2 linked regions of the Arabidopsis thaliana genome follow. The protein of the gene in region 1 binds, or shares a complex with, the protein of each later gene. Each region holds a gene or a part of one and is shown on either strand. Other genes may lie near its edges.

Region 1 (5,640 bases):
AACAGGATTCCTAAACACCAAAACAGTGGAGATAATCACCACGACTCGCTTCATCGTGTTCCCAACAGAGAAAGTCAATGGACTGATCTCGTCGAGTGCCTGGTAAGAAGACTGGTTGTACAGATGATAGAAGACACCAGAGAGCAAAACCCAAAAGTAGAACGTTGATGGTGTCCCAACAGATGCAATGGCTTTATGGTAACCTGGAACCCAATGTGATCCTTCAACGAAAATCGCCACGGGAAACAGATAAAGCAGAGAGAGTATACTGATGCAACCGTATAGATTCAATCCATCAATCTCTTTAAAGCTCTGTAAGCTACGTTTAGAGTAAATGTTTCTCAAGACAAAACCAACGTTACTAATCATAGCTCCTGATAATCCACCTAAATTGAATGACACTTCAGTGACTGCAGCTAAAGAACAACCCATAACAATCGGAAGAATCGATAACCAGACAGCTAACGGATACGAATCACCGAGTAAAGACGAGAAGATAACAGAGAAGACAGGCTCTGCTGATTTGATAACATGAGTGAACGAAACAGCGACTTTGGAGAATGAGACACAAGCTGAGATATGTCCAATAGTGTGGAACAATGCAGGACCAAGGAGAGCAATGATAAAAGGCTTGGAGATTTTAGGGCAGGGGTAAAGCTTAAAGGACCATAAGACAAGCATCCAAATAGAACCTGCGAAGAGCTGAAACGAAGCGAGAAGCCATGGATAAGGAAAGACATTGAGTGCCTTTTTGTTGAAGATGTTGAAGACGATGTTCTGGAAATACCAAAGACCAAACACAATCCCTAGCTGAAGAGTCTTAGCCTTCTTCTCTTTCTTCTCCGCTTCACCAAGATCGGATTTTTCGTCTGGATTTGAATCCGATGAGCCAACGGCGGCGATGGATCTGGGTTTTCTCGAGAACCCAGATGAGGATTCAGGGTTTGTGAGTGAAAGCAAGGGTTTTGCGGAAACATCACGAATCTGGAGATTGGGAATCGGTGAAAGCCCTAGTGGGTGTCTGTGATTGAAGGGTTTAGGGTTGGTGACGAGAAGAGCAGAGAGACGGGTCGGTTGTTGACAGGTCCGGGTCTTGTGGAGGAGACCCGGATTGAGGGAAGGAGATAGATTCAGGGAGATCATTGTTTAAGCACGAACGCAGGTAGAGAAGGAGAGAGAGAAGAGGAAAAAGAGATAGCTCTTGGTTTCGGTTGTGGGTCGTCGTCGGCTCTGGACCAAACGTCAGAGATCCGTTGGGAAGTACAACAATTTTTTGAAAGCTCTGTTCTTGGACTTTGCTCCTTCTTCGAATATAGTACTCTTTTTATAATTATTCCAATTATTTTGTTTAGTTATATAATTGGTAAAATGTCCCATCCTATTTGAAAAGCATTGTGGAAAATGTCTCGAGATTCAAAAAAATGGGACTCACATTTGAAAGTTTTGGAATTTTTAATTTGTAAATTTTATAATTTTAAATGTTAGATTAACAAAAAACTTCACGATAAAACTATTTCGTTCTGATTGTTAACAATAACAAAATCGGAACCGATGCCATCATTTGTCTTTTATCATTATTTTTTCATATCGTATATTATTTTGTTATTGCTTATGATTTTTTTATTGTTTATCCAAATATTTTGGTTTTGAATGAATGTGGTGGGTAAAACGGATTAAACCATTTTCTTTTATAGCGAACAATAATCTATCGAGATCCAATTTCTTTCAATGTAAAAGTAGTCTTAAAATTGGTCCGCACCGGTTTTGTCCATTCTAACCGCCGCAATCATTCGAATATTTTACCTTTTTACATCACCCAGATCAATTAGGTCTATTGATGTTAAGTTACTAATGTTTTTTCCTTTCGGTTTTGTTTTCACTTTTTACACGCAGGAGATGAGAAAAAGGCCAATATGGTAAAATTAGTTTTTTAAAGTTTTGAGAGAAAACTTTAGGTCCATTGATGTTAAATTACTTAAGTTTGTTTTTTCTTTTTCATTTTGGGTTTTGTTTTCACTGTTTACACGCTGGAGATGAGAAAATGGGCCAATGTGGTAAATTAGGCTTTTAAAAAGTTTTTGAGAGAAGAAGACGAGACTAGTGTCAGATCTCGAGATTTGAATCGGTGTTGAAGCCGTCGCCAGAATCAGTTGGATAGGAAAATGGCGGCGAAGCAAATGGAAGAGATACAGAAGAAGCTACGGCTGCTAAGTTACCCTAGGGCAAATGCTCCAGCTCAGTCTCTCCTCTTCGCCGGGATGGAACGTTATGCTCTTCTCGAATGGCTCTTTTTCAAGTAACTCTTTCTTCCTCTCCTTCTTTTATAGCTTATTCGATTCTCTTCTACCAGAAAAATGCTGGGAATTCTCTGAATTTTGAATATCAATGTGAACTCTCAACATTTTGAATTTCTCGAGCTCTGATCACAAAATTCGATGGGGTTTACTTATTGTTTCTTCTCTGGCTCTGTCTTTGAAGGTTATTAGGTGATAAATCACCTTTCTCACAGCAAAATCTCCAAGGAGATGCTGGAGTTCGTGATGAAGAAACTGTTCGTATTCAATGTAAGTGTTTCTTTGATCGTGTTGGCCTTTGAACATTGCCTAGCTATTATCTTAGACTATATTAGTTTTTGATGTGTAAGTGACTTCTCGGTTTCAGATTTGGCAGAGATTGCAAAGTTTTTGGGGATTACACCAACTGTAGACATTGAAGCCATTCAAGTAAGTTTGTTTCAAGTAGCCTTACTGGATTTATGCATTTACCTGTATTTGCTCAAGTTCCATAATTTGTCAAAGTGCAAGCATGGGTTCCACTTTTCAATTTTCTTTTGTTTTGCAAATCTTTCAAACTTTTAGGGACATGGAACCTATGAAGATCGGATGGAAATGCTTCGCAATATTGTTGATTTAGTGGAGGCGAGCCTCTTCTCAGATAATCAAGAATGGAGGTAGACATGTCACTTGTATCTGATATCTTCCACCAGTTTTTATCATTAGTGTGGCATTTTTGTAGTCTTTCATCTTCCTTATTCCCGTCGACTTTATTATGTGTTTTGTTCTTTGAGCATAAGACTGCATAACAATGATTTTGCTTATTCTTCAGTATTGATGAGCAAGTTGCCAAAGATATTCAGCTCATAGATGCTATTGCAGAGAGACAGTCTCTTATATTTTCTGAGGAATGCAAACTGTTCCCTGCTGATGTGCAGATCCAGTCGATATATCCATTGTAAGAACCATTTTCTCCTGTTATCTCCAAGTTATTGCACCTTTTCTCACTATTTAGTCATTGTGGGTAATGGACTTTTTCATATGAATTGTAAATGTGAACTTAGTTTTCCAAATTAAAACTTTGCTACTATGAGTCACTAGGGTTAGCAATGTGTTTTTCCGTTTAAAATCAAGCTTTAAGTTATACTACTATTGTACTTGCAAATCTTAGTCCTTAAATTGTTGCTTCATGTTTCAGCAGATGTAGTGACATTATGTTCCTTAATGGAAGTTTATTTGCAGACCAGATGTTTCAGAACTGGAGACAAAACTTTCAGAACAGGCCAAGATTCTCTCTAATCTTCAACAGAAAGTCGATGACTTGGCAGCAAAGGTGTGCTTTTGTTTCCCCATAAAGAGTTATGTTTTGACTCTTAACTACAGAACTCATTTACTGTTTCATCAGACTTAATATATTTCACTCAGCTTATTACTTATCGCACGTTTACATGTAAACTGCATATACCAATTGCTTAACATATAGCTCTTGTTTCTCTTTATAAGTAGTCTCTGATTCTGATGTAGCCAAGACTTGAACTTCATAATGTAACTAATATGTATATATGCATACTCAATTCCTACTACTTAATGACTTGTTGATAGAAGGAAACAGTCATATACATAATTCCTACTACTTATTGACGTTGATAGAAATATGTCTGTTTTCTCCTTTCAGCATGCTTACAACCCAGATGAAGAATATACTGAAGTGGAATCTCAACTAAGGGCTCGTTTAGAATCGTTTCTTGAAACAGCTAGGGCATTCAATACAATCTACACAAAGGTATTTCTTTTTCATACTAACTCATAATTCTCTCTCCCTATCAACCTAGATTAGCTAGAAGTAAAATGCATAAGTTCAGCTTTTTTCTTGTAGACATGAAATCTGCTATTTGTCTCTGTCATGCTGCTTCCATGTCGCAAAAAATGCCTCTGAATATCTTATGATCTGACTATCTTTTCCAGAAACTGAAAAATAAGCCGTTGTATCTTTATCACTATGTTTGGACTTTTTTCAGGAAATTCGTCCATGGACGCATATGATGGAAGTGCCTCAGCTTCATGGTTTTGGTCCTGCTGCAAACCGTTTACTAGAAGCATATAATATGCTTTTAAAGGTGCCCCATTGTCTCCTTCTATCTGTATACTTGGTTGTATCGACTATATTGAGTCCATATAATTTATACTTTGATTCTGATACACAAATCGTTTGGCAACAGTTCCTAGGGAACTTGAAGAACCTAAGAGACTCACATGCAGCACTTTCGATTGGATCCTCGGGGACAGTTGCTGGAGAGCCATCCTCTGTAACCAGAATCGTATCCGACTGTGAAGCTGCATTAACTGTTCTCAATCGAGATCTTGGAATCCTCTCGGCTTCTATTGCTCGTGAGCAAGGTGAGCGTCTTTAACTGTCTTGAGTTGACCACACTTGATAAAGGGTTCAACTCCATGAATGTGATGAGTTGTATTCGTTAGAAATCATTTTAGGGTGGATGTTTTGATCTCAAGAATTGTAACTCTTTTCAGCACTTTTTTGCTTCTGTCAATTAACCAAATCAAATCTAAAGGTAAAATTTCTCATCGACCAAATATTTCACTAATGCTACACATTTAGGACAAAAACAATAAAATGCAAACATATTCAACTAACTGCCCGTGTGAATCGTCTCAAGCTCTTGATGATAATATTGGCGCATACTGCACCGAGAAGTTAAAGAGCTTAAACTTGAGTTTCACCTATTAAAATGATGTTTTAAGATTAACAGAGACGAAACTTTGACTAGTCTAGCTATGATTTGGCTCTACAGCTACAAAAGACTCCCAGCAAACAGAGTTTTCAAAGCAAGTCCTCTTTGGAATAAGCATCGGAACAGTGACTTGAACACACAAGATATAGAAACCATTCCAAGTATGAATGATTCAAATTTGTTATCAAGATCCAGATTTATGTGGCTCCCCCATATCGTGTAATTATGCTGCGTGCATGTATATATAGGTCAAATTGTATTGGGAAGACTCCAACAATAATATGGACTCCTATTCATGACAAGAGAACTGGGACCAATCTGTGCGTATTAAGACTGATTTGTACAATGGTTTCAAGATTCAGTGGATTTGCCAATCATAAACGTAAACGTTTCATATAAACAACCATTAACCCAAAAATTGAGGTTTATAATAAAAGAAGCCTTACATGGCTTCAAACGCGACAGAGCAGAATACTACTGATCAGAAATTCAAGAGCTTAGCTCAGATTTTGGCAAATGTCTTCACTGAGAAAGTCTTATTTGATACCATCAAAAGATGCCTCGAACACCCTCTAAGCTTTCCCCGAGTGATGACCTGAAAAGAATAGATAGATATA
Region 2 (6,047 bases), on another chromosome or scaffold:
GGATGCTGTAAGTTTTGATCAAGACAAGATCGTTCATTTACTTCTTGAATGTTTAAAAACTCCTATTCGGGTTTTTGTGATTCAGGCTGACGTTGATGGAAATGGGTCAATAGATTACATTGAGTTTATTACTGCAACAATGCATAGACATAGGCTTGAAAGTAATGAGAACGTTTACAAAGCCTTCCAACATTTTGACAAAGATGGGAGTGGGTAAGTGATCTTTCTTTTGGTATGAATCATTTTGCAATGTAAATAGATTTGTTAGCAATGATTGATGAGACTATTACTGAAAATGTGTTTAATAGATACATTACGACAGACGAGCTAGAGGCTGCTTTGAAGGAATATGGAATGGGAGATGATGCTACTATCAAAGAGATTTTGTCTGATGTCGACGCTGATAATGTAAAAGCCAAAAGATTAAAGCTCTTCGCCCTTGTAACGTTTTTCGTTTTCTTTCTCTGACCTCAAATTTTGTTTCTTGTTACAGGACGGTAGAATCAACTATGACGAGTTTTGTGCTATGATGAGAAGTGGGAATCCACAACAACCAAGATTGTTCTAACATATTTTATTTGTCTTCTGTCTGAATCTAATCAAAAAAGACAAGAGTGGTATTATTATTGTTGTTTAGGCAAAAATTTAAGGTTGAAAAGAGAGAGAGAGAGATGATTGCTTTCATTTATTTTGGTACTGCTAAACTGGTCATCTCATTTGGTTTGAAGGACCAATAAAAGTATATAACAGAGGAAGATAACACAATGTAAGTAGATTACAAGTAGTGGACCACATAGCTAGATGTATATTTAAATTATACTGATTTTTTCTCCCAGTTCAATCTTTCTTGGAGGATTAGATTTGCTAATACATATATCACAAGTGTTAACAAATCTAGTGATCAGTCATGAGACTTAAGGTCCATTTCTACTTGATGAATGGTCCACTGCATATTTTCCAGTTTCTGCAAAACCATGAAAGCTCTCATTATAATTCGTGTTGTTGTATTCCCACAAGTCAAATCAAATTTAGAAGGTGAAATGACTTAAGTAATGACTTGCTTGTACCTTAACAATGTCATGGTACTGTCTGGCAATTGTATCAAAATGCGGATCTACTCCTTGATATTCTCTAAGCCGAGTAACCTGTGTGTCATTTCGCAGGCTCGGTTAATTAATCGGGAGTAAAATGCCAATGAAGACTGAACAAAAGGGTTTAGTGCTAAGCAATGTAAGAGAGGATAAAGACACAAACCGCTTTGTTGTATGCAGCTGAAGCTTCCTCGGTAGCCTCGACTAGATAATTCCTAAAAAAATACAATAATGCTTGGAGGTGAGAGACGGGGTCATGGATTTATCAAATACATGGAAAGAAACATGTCTGGAAAATAGATTCCCGCACCTGATGTTGTGCAGAGCTGATATGGAGTCAGGGGTGTATGTCTCAAGGAGGAGAACATTTTCCAAAACCCTTCAAGCAGAGAAAGATAAGATATCTTAACTACTGCAATAGCCTGAAATTTAGATCCTAAACAGTAAAGGATGAGATTATACCTTAATTTTGCATTCATGGTCTCACACCTTTTACACAACCAAGTCTTCTGCATCTCATTCTGTGACAATATATAGAGTAAGCTATATATGAACAGGCAGCATTTAAATCAATTGGAAAACACTGAAACCCTTACATATTTGTGTTGATGTTCTAACTTTAGATCCTTCACAAGCTTTATAAGTACCCCGAGTATTTGTTCCAGGACCTTGTTCAGAATAAAAACGAACAGTCATCAGAACTTACTACAACTAGGGGATACATGGATAATTGACAAGTAGTAGCTTTCATATACATGTAGAAATTTATCTATAAAAAAAAAAAATTTAGTAAAATATCATGCAACAGCCCAGTAATTAGATTTTCGGTTTGCATAATACAATATGAATATTCTTTTCACCTACATTGTAATATTCAGCAAACTTCCTGTCAGCCGAGTACAGGTCCTCTCGTAGAGCTGCTTCATCTCTTTCAATCTCCTCAATTATAAACTTAACCCTGAAATGCAAGAAAACACGGTCACTCATCGGTACTAGAGAGCTTAAGAGGATGGCTAAGTGTGAGAAAATCATTTGTTCCTTCTAGACTTTTAATAAACTTTACAGAGAAACAGAATACTATCACGAACATAACTTTTTCTCTATGGCTATGATCCCATCATCTAAAAGAGGCTTTCAGTTGCATTTCGCTACCATATGTTTACATGTATATCACATTATGTAGATATATATATCCCTAGAAAGGCCAGTTGCCATCCGTCTTCACTAAAACCATAACGCTATTAAGTTTTTCTTTTAGATGTCTTTAGGCATAGTTAAACCATAGTGATAAAGCTAACCTTTCTGGGAGCCTAGCACTTGAATTTCGATTTCCTGTGGACGAATCTGTCATTTAATGAAGAGTATAAGAAAAATACAGTCAGGATTGGCACACAACTTAACATAAAGTCCAAGTATCACATTGGACAGGAACAAATGAATTTGGGTAAGGAGCGAAAGACCTCTTTCTCTGTCTGCTAGTAATGAAGATCTTACCAGTGTCATCAACAATGGCATCAGCCAACTTATCACATTTTTCCTTCAATCGACCTTCTATCTCACGGGCAAGAAACATTTGGTAGTCAGCCATGTCCTAAGCAAAGTTATTTAAAAGAAAAAATTAGATACTCAAAGATATCCATAACCCAATCTTTCATAAGAATTGGTGCAAAAATATTTCGCAATCAGCAGATGAAGGAACAACATAGTTATGAAGACACCAAAAGTAGGCACAGTATGATCTCACATTACCATGGAAATAGTATTTTGAAGCTGAACATAGGATAAGTAAGCAGGTGTTATTCCAAGAAATCGATTCGGAACACCACCTACTACGTCAGTATCAACAGCACTAAGACTAATCCCACCAGCAACACTATTTGCAGAGCTATTCGCATAGTTCACGGAGTTAGAAGTGGAGCTAATCGTAAAACTCGTGCTTGCACTATCAAGAGAGCTTCTTGAAAGTATACTCCACTTTTCAATCTCTTCCTCATGAATTTCACCACCATCTGAAATAAGAGGTAGCCTCAGTTTCTGAGCCGCCTCAGCAACCACCAACCTATGCTCTAGAGTCTCATAAACCTAAAAAAAATCAACAATTATGCTCATAAATGAGTCTCGAGATAACAAATAATTCCAGAAAAAAAATCACGTTTTTGAGATTAGAAACCTGAGGAGAATTCTTCAAGCCAAGTTGAGGGTATAGACCTTGAACATCACGAATTCCCCCATGGTTAGCTACTGAAATAGCTTGCTGATATTCTTCAACCATAGCTACAGCTTCACAATAAATAGCCTAACAATTGTAAAAACTAATAATGTGAGTCCTTAGATTGAATCAAACCCTAATTTGAACTAATCAGCTTCAACTTCAATAAGTGAATGAAGAAAATCCTGAAATTAAAATAAACCCCAAAAATGGAAGAAGAGATAAAAGTGTTACCATAGCTTCCAAATACCGAAGTCTCTCCCGAGACATCTCCTCTCTCGCCTGCAATGTCGATACAATAACATTTGAGGCTCTTAAAGAGAATTAGGGGATTGTGGACACAAAATCTGAAAGAGAGATTACGAGTTGGAGATCGGAGTAGACAGATTTGGTAACAAGAGATCCATCGGGAGCCAAACAGTGACGCTCTAACTGATCGATCAATTGGTTGACATCCGCCGGTAGATTCTGAGCCGCGCCTTGCAGTGCCTTCACCATTGGCGGCGATAGATACCTCAATGTGACGTTTTCCAGCGAGAGATCTGCTTCGATCTACCTTTTGCCGCGACTGTTGATTCAAAAACTTATTCTCAGGCGCTCCATTGCCAATTCTCTCCCTTAATAATTTATCTTCTTTTAGATTTTGGGAAAATCGTTAAAACAAAATCTTTTAAAAAAAAGTTACCCGAACAAGTTCAGCCTGACGAGAAAAAGTTAACTTAAGACTCAAATAAGCATAAGTTAACTTTTTACCTTGGGCCAGTCAACTTCAGATAAATCTCCTATACTAAGTAACGAAATCAATTACATGATACGTAGTAACAAAAGCTATCAACGATGTTCATAATGTGTGCATGAAAATGTGGTAAGTTAATATGAAAATCTTTTAAATCACCTCAATCGGTAAGTAAATCGGGTGATCAGAGCCGACATCCCTTAGACAAGGAAAGTCACCTAAATATTTCAGCTTAATTCCCAACACTTTGGTGAAATATTTATATACCGTAGTCTTAACCTTCACCGATTCTTAGTTTTTTGTTTGTAAACTTTCGAATAAACCTAAATAAAGCAAAGAAATATATCTTATAATAATGAACATAAAAAGTATATAAACATAAGAGACATACATTTGTTCATTGTAGTGATCTTTACTTAGACCAAATATCATGTACTCTTTATCATCGTGTAACGTCTGAATTTTCCGACTTTTTAAAATGTGTTTAGCCTCTTTCCAGTCAAGTTCACCAGCCGAAGGATTCAAGGACAATATCCCATGAGTAAAATGCAAGAAGATGTAGTCGTTGCCCCTTGATGATTCTCTGGATTCGTTAATTTGTTGATTGACACTCAAAATCTTTTTTTTGAAACTTTGTTTTTTTTGGCAAAGTTCTCATAGCTAGGTTCAACTTTTGTTAAATCTCAACTCTTCATTTCTTTAATGTTATTCACATTCCTATCAACAAAATAAATTACTTGAAACATCTATAATATCAAATAATTTAATAATTAATTCTTCAATTATTCACTTAAATAACAAAATATCATCACATATAATATAGAAAATGGAATAATAGATGTTATACGGTTCATAAATTTGATTTTTTTCTTTGTTTTTTTTTCTTGCATATTCTCTTCATTTGTTTTCAAACTTTAGGCGTCATCTCTAAGCTTCTCTTTTTTTTTCAAATAATATTTCATCTCTAGACAAAGTTTATGTTTGAAAATCACTATCTTTTTTGTCATATAGAATATTTTAATATGTAAAATGGAATAATATCTATTATATGGTTCATAAATTGTGAGATTTATATGTTAGTAAAGGCTTATGAAGCCATGCACTGCCAGATTATTGGTCCATGGAATAATAGATGTTATATGGAATAATATCTATTATATGGTTCTCCATTTCTTGAACCTTTTTGCAATATCAAACATTCAAACTCATATCACAAAGAAAACCAATCTAGTCGTATCAAATTATCGATTAAAATTTATAAATCGAAATAAACAAAACACTAATAAAATACCAAAGTTTAACATATAAAAACTAACTAATCACATATCATGCGTAATTACACAACCCATAGACACAAAACTCACCAACCAAACAACTATGGTTGCACTCCCCACAATGCCTCTTATCATAAGCTAAGTAAACGCACTCTCCTCTACAACAAGTCTGCGTGAACTTGCATTGGTTCTTACATGCGCCACAGTTATCGTTATCGTACGCCAGATCAACACACTTGTTGCTACAACACGCCATGGTTGAGTTGTACATTCCTTGACTCTTGCATATCTCCTCTTCTTTATTGCAATGATCCGCTGCGTTAAGATTACGACCGTTCTTTGCGTTTTGCGCTAAGAAACGGCTCACCCTTCCCGTTGTAATTAGCGTTTGCGTCTGCGTATGCGTTTGTAACAACGTTTCTGTTTTGTTGTTGCTAACAAATACTGTAGCAATGAGTACCATTATGGCTATAGAAATGGTTAGAAGTATTGTCAATACGGTATTTCTATGCCCCATGTCTTTTTTCGTTTGTTAAAAAGAGAAGTTGAGAGAAAGAGAGATTTGGGATCGTGAAATGTATTGTTAAGGACGAGGGAAATAGAGTTTATATAAAGTTTGACGAGTCGTATTATTCTGTAGTAGCTATGCATGTGATGGAAATTGAGTAAAGTACGTTTAAATAATTCTTCATTAATGTTGAATATTTTTATCACAAAGTCCAAAAAATTTGTAATTA

What was found.
Region 2: AUG7 (region 1) and AUG4 share a complex: the UniProt entries of both Arabidopsis thaliana proteins name them as parts of the augmin complex.

Annotation. Positions count from the first base shown.
Region 1 is NC_003076.8:5,804,978-5,810,617, reverse strand, and holds AUG7 (nuclear matrix protein), read left to right. Parts: upstream 1-1,998; 5' UTR 1,999-2,162; coding exon 2,163-2,296; intron 2,297-2,478; coding exon 2,479-2,564; intron 2,565-2,661; coding exon 2,662-2,723; intron 2,724-2,858; coding exon 2,859-2,950; intron 2,951-3,105; coding exon 3,106-3,231; intron 3,232-3,515; coding exon 3,516-3,606; intron 3,607-3,948; coding exon 3,949-4,056; intron 4,057-4,291; coding exon 4,292-4,390; intron 4,391-4,492; coding exon 4,493-4,684; 3' UTR 4,685-4,910; downstream 4,911-5,640. Other genes in the region: AT5G17630 (Nucleotide/sugar transporter family protein), read right to left, coding at 1-1,143; AT5G17610 (uncharacterized protein), read right to left, coding at 5,573-5,618. UniProt on the Arabidopsis thaliana protein: Contributes to the assembly of the acentrosomal spindle and phragmoplast microtubule arrays as part of the augmin complex. Regulates the association of gamma-tubulin with the spindle and phragmoplast microtubules.
Region 2 is NC_003070.9:18,783,818-18,789,864, forward strand, and holds AUG4 (HAUS augmin-like complex subunit), read right to left. Parts: upstream 3,986-6,047; 5' UTR 3,799-3,985; coding exon 3,664-3,798; intron 3,583-3,663; coding exon 3,535-3,582; intron 3,388-3,534; coding exon 3,262-3,387; intron 3,174-3,261; coding exon 2,841-3,173; intron 2,683-2,840; coding exon 2,586-2,682; intron 2,436-2,585; coding exon 2,390-2,435; intron 2,050-2,389; coding exon 1,956-2,049; intron 1,760-1,955; coding exon 1,688-1,759; intron 1,613-1,687; coding exon 1,554-1,612; intron 1,471-1,553; coding exon 1,402-1,470; intron 1,307-1,401; coding exon 1,255-1,306; intron 1,146-1,254; coding exon 1,068-1,145; intron 965-1,067; coding exon 902-964; 3' UTR 692-901; downstream 1-691. Other genes in the region: CPK33 (calcium-dependent protein kinase 33), read left to right, coding at 1-213, 309-408, 494-568; AT1G50720 (Stigma-specific Stig1 family protein), read right to left, coding at 5,363-5,827. UniProt on the Arabidopsis thaliana protein: Involved in microtubules reorganization during spindle and phragmoplast development.